Linked DNA regions of Rattus norvegicus. The protein of the gene in region 1 interacts with the protein of each later gene in a pairwise test. Links are inferred from orthologs where the notes say so. Each region holds a gene or a part of one and is shown in the gene's direction. Other genes may lie near its edges.

Region 1 (3,646 bases):
GACATTTGAATATATTACCTTTTCATGCAGTTATGTATACTAAGTTGTCTTCACATAAGTAACAACCAGTGTATTTTTTTTTTAATTCTTCAAGTGTGATATGGTTAAGGGTGGAAATAACTACCACAGTAATGTAGAAGTCAAGAGACTGAAGTCAGAAAAACAGGTAAACAACAGTAACGTGCTACATAGGAGAGAGAAGAAGAGCCAAGCCCTGAGTGTTTTTAAGATTACTATAATACAGGGTCTTCTCTAGGGAAGTGTGCATGTGTACAAGTAAAGCTGTAAACAGCATTCCTGTTACCATAACCGAGCATAGCTTCTCATTAGCACTTGACTGTTAGTGGACAAGCCATGTGCCTAAAATGGTGGTATATCAGCTTTGTCTTGCAGTGACAAAGTGCTTTAGAAAATAACCTAGGGTAGTGGTCTCCACCTGTGGGTTTCTGCCCTTTAGAGGTTGCATATCAGAGATCCTGCATATCAGAAATTTACATTATGATTCATAACTAGCAAAATTATACTTATTAAGTAGCAATGAAAATAATTTTATGATTGAAGGTCACCACAGCATGAGGAACTTTATTAAAGGGTCACAGTATTAGGAAGGTTGAGAGTCACTTCAGGAAAAGGGATGTATTTTTGGTCATGGTTTCAGAAATCTCAGTTCATGGCCCACTGGCTCTGTTAGCTTGGGCCTGAAACAAGGCAAACACCTTAGGGGCTGAGTGTGTATGAGAGAAGGCTGTTTACTCTGGTAGTCAGGAAGCAAGGAAGTCAAATGGGCTACTGACAAGATGCATTCTTAAAGTGTTTGTTCTCAAGAACCTACTCCTTTTTCCCTTTCACCTTCTGGTAGCCCACCGTCTATAAGTTCATGGTGGGATAACCCAGTTACAATGTCCAAGCATTCATTTCAGACACTTTGCAAACGTTCATCAGCTTTATACTTAGACTTTGGTGACCTTTTAGATTTAAAGTTCTCAGGACATGCCACTGGAACAGTTGGAGACTGCTTTTAAGGAAAGCCTGCTAATAATTGTGAGTGGTTAAATCAAGCTTTCTAAGTGCTAATTGCTTTTAGAGGATTTTGCTGTAAACTTTAACTCATAAGCCTTCCAAGTAGCCTTGAGGTCAGAATTGGTTTGCCTTTTAAGTAGTTGAAGAAGCTGTGGCACAGAAAGGTTCAGTAGCCTAAAGTCAGCAGCCACTGTTAGCTCTAGCAATACAACCTAAGGAATTTAGCTCCAGAACTCTTCATATCACCTTTCTGTGTGGTAAACTAACTTAAAGCCATAAGCCTTGTGTTATCTTCAGAATCCACTTACTGTCACAGTATTAGAAGTATACAGAAAATCTAGATTCTCTGTACTGGCTCCTGTGTTTTCCTTACCCTGACAGAGTTTGATTGACTGTAGGTATTAAATAGAGTCCTAGTCCTATCAGCAAAGAACAAGAGAGTATGGCCAGAGTTCTCAGTCTTAAGAAAAATGGGGCCAGTATAGACATTTATATAAAGTAGAAATCAGTGTTACCTATTTAAAAAGTAAGCCGTAGATAAATTCACTAGGAGATAAAGTATAAGTCAAAGATTCATTAGAATTATAACTAGGTTTTAAAGAAGGTCATTTAAGTATGCTGCAGTTAGTCATAGAGTGGAGAAATTATGATAAATGAATTAGAGACCAAAACAATGGCTAGATATCCTATGAAACCATGAGCTGGATAATTTTAACTAAAAGAAGAACATGTGAGAAGACTAGTGAGAAATGTTTGGATCTCTGAACATAACCAGGGAGATTAAATTGAGTTTACAGACAGTAGAGACCTACTTAAGAAAGCAGCCCTGTGTTTGGTTGATTGTAGATAGGAGTTTTGATTTTGACAAGGGGAGGTTAGGACTCAGGAATTTAGAATTTCACACATTGTAAGGAAGGATTTCCAATTTTTACTTTGGATCCTATAGACTGGAGCAAATGTGAAAATATGAAGCACATAAGTGTAGTGTATTCTCGGTGACATGGTTGTTTCATGGTGATTTTATTTTTATTGTCATTAACCTAAATCTTTAAATTGCACTTGTTAAGGAACGAGTTTGGACAGAGTAATTAACTGACTTTTCATGACCACCCAGGACCACCCAGTGCTCCTACAGAAGACCGTTCCGGAACACCTGACAGCATTGCTTCTTCCTCTTCGGCAGCACACCCAGCAGCAGGTCAGCCACAGCAACCTCCCTATGCAGGAGCTCAGACACAAGCAGGTCAGATTGAAGGTAAAATAGTGTTCAGAGCCATAGGTGGGAAGGGACATGTGCAGAAGTGTTCACTGAGGCATCATTGGTAATGGCAGTCCATTTATATAGGTAGTCTCACTGTCTTCACAGATGTAAAAGAGTCTAATACTAATGTGAGATTTAGTATCATGAACCAAATAATATACAGGATATATTTCTGATTATTGAAAGGTAGATGAAAAATGTTTTAAGTTAATATAAACACAAAATGAAAGAGTGGGGAAAAATACTTTATAATTTCCCCTCCAAACACTACATTTTCTGTCACTTAAAAAGATTTTATGTAGAGATGGTGAAGCATAATTTTAGGTAAATAATGTAGTGGACATGGGTCAGTGCATTTGCAGTTAATTTTTTTTCTCTTCAAATTATGTGTCCTTGGTAAGTAATTTAATCTTGTGAGTTTTGATATTTTTCTACTGATTAAAAAATGTGAAAATTGGACTAAATCAATCATTTTAAAAAATACCTCATTAATCCTTAATTAAATTGAAAGTGCAGTATTTCAAAGGGCTGGTTGGTATTTGTGAAGGATCTCAGATGCCTCATTGAAACACACAACTCATTGACGACCTCATTGACGAAGTCAGAACACCACTAAGGACCATACCTATCTCTAGGGCAACCCTTGACATGACCTTGTTTCTTTTTTTCTGTTAACTGCTTGTACATGTTAGGACCTTTATAAGTGCACATTTTACTTTAAAACAGTAAACACCAGATGGTGCTCTAACACTGTACCAAAGGGTTGATGATGATCTAAAGTCCATAGCACCTAAAGCAGCATTTACATTAAAACAGAAACAAACTACAGCAGTCGGCTAGAATGAGCTGTGCCTGGAGTCTTCTTGTCCTGTGGTGATGCTTTCCATGCTTGCTCACTGAATTAGTGTGACTCGTTGGGGACTAGCAGGTGGTATCTTATGTATTCTTATGTTACGTCTTTTCTCCACCAACTTTAGTCAGTCTTACTCTGCATCAAATATGCAAGAACAAGAGCTAGGGCAAACTAGAAGTGATGGGATATTGGTTCAGTGGGAGGCTGAAGCAGAACACAGAGTTTGGGTGGACAAAGGTTGTAACATCCATGCCAGGTGAACTAAAAGCCATTGTAGCACTGATGTCAGTTATTAGAAGGAGAATTGTACAAAAAAGGTCAGTGGCAGAAATGAGATACGATGTTTGCTTAGCAAGATTTCACTTGTCTTTTGAGGGCTTTTTTTAATTGCCAAATTATCAAATCTGTTAAGAATAGTTTATATAGTGAAAATGGTCTTCTACCTGTGTTCTCTAGCAATACTCACCATATTCACATTATACTATTGATGCATTTTCTTTGGAGTGGCATTA
Region 2 (4,249 bases), on another chromosome or scaffold:
TGATGGCCTTCCTAGAGAGTCGCCCACCTGCGTGGCAATAGCCAGACTGTCCTGCTCATTCCCGCCTGCACACGGACCCCTCTTGGGGCAAGGCAGACCATACCTACCAACCAGGATCCTTCAAGAGGCTCCTGAAATGCAAATGACGAATGGCTTGTTTGCAAATCAAAAGTGGGCGGTGAAAGAAGTGCCCTCCAGGTGAGAGCTAGATTGTGAGGAACAGCAATCCTTAAAGGGGGATGGGAGGTGGGGTGGTGGTGGATCCTATAGAGTCCTTAGGAAGAACCTAGTTGACTCCAGGGCACCAATTGAAAGGCACCAAGATAAAGTGAGGAAAAAGAATACTGCAATCCTGTTTTATAAACAAATACGTTTGCTTAAGCGTCCTAAGCCATGCACATGTAGAAGTGTGTTGGACAACTGAAATGAGGTGCCTAAACGTGACCTGGGGAGAGTAAGACTCTTAATTTTTATTATTTTTCCTTTTTTATTTGATTTTTTTTATTTATTTACATTTCAAATGTTATCCCCTTTCCCGGTTTCCCGTCCATAAACTCCCTATCCTATCCCCCCTCCCCTTAACTTTTATTTTTAAATGTTACACAACCATATTTATTGTACTACCTTTTTCTAAACAAGCAAACAACATGATTTTCCCCTGCAATTAATATACTAGTATTTTTGCTACAATGAATAAACCAATACTGATGCATTGTTATTAAAATCTATATACTGTTCAGATGTCATTAGTTTTCAACCTAATGTCCTTTTCCCAGGATCCCATCTAAGAAGACACATTACTTAGTTTTCGTATCTCTACGTGACAGCTTCTTAGACTTCCCTTATTTTGACAACCTTGAGAGTTTTGGACAGTCCTGAGTTCCTCAACTGGGGCTTGTCTGATATTTTTTGCACGATTACTATGGGGTCATGTGTCATAGGGAGGAAGACATCACACGACAGAAGATCAATATAAATCACCACTGCTGATGTTGGCCCTGATCACTGGCTGAAATGGTAATTTTTTCCACTGTGAAGTTTCCACCTGCCGTACACAGTGGCCGTTTTAAATTTTCTTCACGGTCATACCTCTGAAAATAAACACCCGAAAGATGTTCTCTCACCCCACAGTCTGGAGCGCGGCTCTGCTCCACTGGGAAAGCCCAGGGCTTCCTACAAGAAGTCACTACCAAGAGCGCGGCTCTCACCTGTGGGCGTGGCCACACGCACCCCGCCCCTCCAGAGAGACCCCGCCCCGCTCCGCTCCTGTGGCTCCGCCCCGGGGAGAGTAAGGCGGCCGCGCCCGGAGAGTTTTCCGCCCTGCGGGCTCCTCCTCCGACCGTGCGCAGACACTCTCGGGTCGAGATCCGGAAAGCGAGACTTGGAGGTAGCTGCTATCCGAGCTCAGTGTCCCGGTCCCTGGTGCCAGGTGCGTGAGGGTCCCGTCGGGCGGTCTGTACTTGAGGGGTATTCGCGTGTGGCGTGGGGTGTAATGTTCCTCCGGATGACCAGGCCCGGAGTTGAACGGGATCAGGGCAGGTGAGCCTGGGATCCTGTGGTCCCATGATGTGCGAACTTGGGGTTGGTCAAGGTCTTATCTCAGTGCGTTTCCGGGAGAAGCTTGAGCGGAGCCCAGCCGGCCGAGAACGCTGTCTTGGGGAACTTTGCTCCGGAACTGCAGGGCGCGGGTTCCTGGACCTGCCACCCTGGGTTTATATAAGGCAGGCTCCCAAGCGGTCCAGAGAATGCGCGATTGTGCCAGTTGCCGTGTTGCCTGCCTTCCTTACGGCTTATCCAGCTACGATCTCTCTGCCCCTGCCCCCGCTTCTCGTTCCAGAGACCTAAAGAACTCTTGCTTGGGCTTGGCTCCCCGACTTCCCGTCGGCTCAGGCCAGCCTCCTAAAGTCGTAGAAGGTGGCAAACAGTTCTGGGGGAGAATAGTTAAACTCAAGTTGGGCACATTCTCTCAGGAGATTTCTCTTTCCGCTCGCTAAACAGTAGGTGTCCTTGGAGATTGGGTTTCACGGACCCTACACCTAGAGTGTCAGCCTACCTGTCTGATCCGTTCACTGGACTCATCTAGCTTGCTCCGCGCTCGGTCCTGCCCGTACTATAAAGCTTGCCCCGAGGCAGCCTTATTGAGGAAAAAAAGGCTACAAATGCGGCCCTGGGTTGGGCTGTTCTCTAGTGTAAATTTTGCAGATGACAGTGTGTGTGTGTCATTGTCAAAATGATGACTATTCCTGAAACTGGAGCCTTGCAGGGAAGGGCCAGGTGTCTTGCTCACCCTCGGCTTGCTCCCATTATGTTCCTTTATTATTTCCTTGCTTCAGCCAGTTGTTGGGAATTCCAGGAGGATTAACAGGGCTGGTTCTTCTAGGCCTTGTCTGTGCTTGGTATTCTCTAGCTCCGGAAGCCAGGTGAGCTCTCCCGCAGTCTGTTTCTCTAGCACACTCGCCCACTTTGGATTTCTCCATCTCTCCTGATTTCTGAATCTCGATTTTTCTTCTCCATAAAATGAGGGCACTTATAGTTCCTATTTCATAGACATTGTGAGGATTCTGCGAGTTAATTTTTTGTTCTGTTTTGCTTGTTGTTGCTATTGTTAGTTAATTTTGGGGGAGTTTGTTGTTTGTTTGTTTGTTTGTTTGTTTTGAAACAAGGTTACCTATTTAGCATTGGCTGTCCTGGAACTTGCTTTGTCTGGTCTCAAACTCCAATCTCAGACTCTTACAGACCTCGGCCTCCTGAATGCTGGGATTAAAGGTTTGTGCCACTCGCTCAGCAAGCTGATTTTTTAAAAAGCATTTATATTATTTTTAATTAAGTGTGTGTGTATTCAAATTCCCTGGAGCTGGACTTACAAGTTGTGAGCTTTCTGAGTCTGAAATCTGGTTGTCGGCAAGAGCAGTCTTCACTCTTTTTTTTTTTTTTTTTTTGGTTCTTTTTTTCGGAGCTGGGGACCGAACCCAGGGCCTTGCGCTTCCTAGGTAAGCGCTGCAGTCTTCACTCTTATCCACTGAGTTATCTTTCCAGTCCTATGAGTTCATCTATTTTTACCTTTTTTGTTTGTTTGTTTGTTTGTTTTGTGTGTGTGTGTGTGTGTGTGTGTGTGTGTGTAGCCCTAGGTGTTCTGGAACTCTTTAAGATTCTATTGGCCTCGAACTCAAAGATCTGACTGCCTTTTAAACAAATTTTCTGTTTATAAGTGGTTTTTGTCTTCGTGCATGTCTGTATACCATGTGGGTTCCTGGTGCCCTTGGAAGACAAAGAGGGCACTGGATACCCTTGAACCAGAGTTGCAGACAGTTGTGAACCGCCATATAGTTAGGTACAAGTGCTTTTAACTGCTGAGCCATCACTCAAACCTTGAGCTGCTTTTCTTTTCTTCTTTCCTTTTTCTTTTTTTTTCATATAAGACAGAGTCTCTCAGTGTCGATCTGAGTGTTCTAGAACTCGATTTGTAGGCCAGGCTGTCCTTGAGCTCATAGAGATCCACCCGCCTCTTCCTCCTGAGTGCTGGCATCAAAAGCATGCACCGCCTTACCCAGCATTCCTACTTATTTGTTTACTTATTTATTTTTGAGACAGAGTTTCTCTGTGTAGCCCTGGCTGTTCTGGAATTCACTGTGAGACCAGGTAGGCCTTGAGTGCACAGAGATCTGCCTGCCTTAACTCCCAAATGCTGGCTGGGATCAAGGGTGTGTGCCACCATTGCATGGTACAGGTTGGCCATTGCCGCCTGGCACAAGTTGATGTTTTTAGTGTCTCTGCCATGCTCAGGTACCGAGCAGTTAGACTGGTGGCAACTGCTGACTGCACCTGTGCATGACTGATGAACGGATGATGCTCGGGTTAGCCATAAAGCACACAAGGTGAGGCCTGGTGTCTAAGTAATCAAAAAACCCAACTGCTAGTAGGTAATACAGCAAGAGCAAGAGCATGGGGTGCAGCTGGCTTGAACTGCCCCGCACACACCTCTCTTCCCTCTTTCCCCTGTTTTGTCCTTATTTACAAACCATTCTGGTGTTCTGCTCTCTGGTAGGAGGGCCAGATATGCCCTCTTTAACCTCTCTGTCATTGGCCCAGTTTTCCGGAGAGGCCTTAGAAGGATTTGTATGACCACATATCTAGTCTTTGTGCCTTTGGGGGATGGAGACTTTCTGAATCTTTTTAGGTGCCTATGTGGGTCCTCTTTTTGGTGGTGATGGTGGTCGTGGGTTCAAGATGGTTTCACTGTAGCTCTGGT

What was found. The genes of interacting proteins can lie anywhere in the genome.
Region 2: the proteins of Tfg (region 1) and Anxa11 interact in binary tests that used the Homo sapiens proteins (3 or more experiments, as listed by UniProt). The two-hybrid records come from large-scale screens. The link is inferred for Rattus norvegicus from reciprocal best matches to the Homo sapiens genes TFG and ANXA11.

Annotation. Positions count from the first base shown.
Region 1 is NC_086029.1:57,371,640-57,375,285, forward strand, and holds part of Tfg (protein TFG), read left to right. Parts: intron 1-2,134; coding exon 2,135-2,275; intron 2,276-3,646. UniProt on the Homo sapiens protein: Plays a role in the normal dynamic function of the endoplasmic reticulum (ER) and its associated microtubules. Required for secretory cargo traffic from the endoplasmic reticulum to the Golgi apparatus.
Region 2 is NC_086034.1:1,418,360-1,422,608, forward strand, and holds the start of Anxa11 (annexin A11), read left to right. Parts: upstream 1-1,374; 5' UTR 1,375-1,429; intron 1,430-4,249. UniProt on the Homo sapiens protein: Binds specifically to calcyclin in a calcium-dependent manner. Required for midbody formation and completion of the terminal phase of cytokinesis.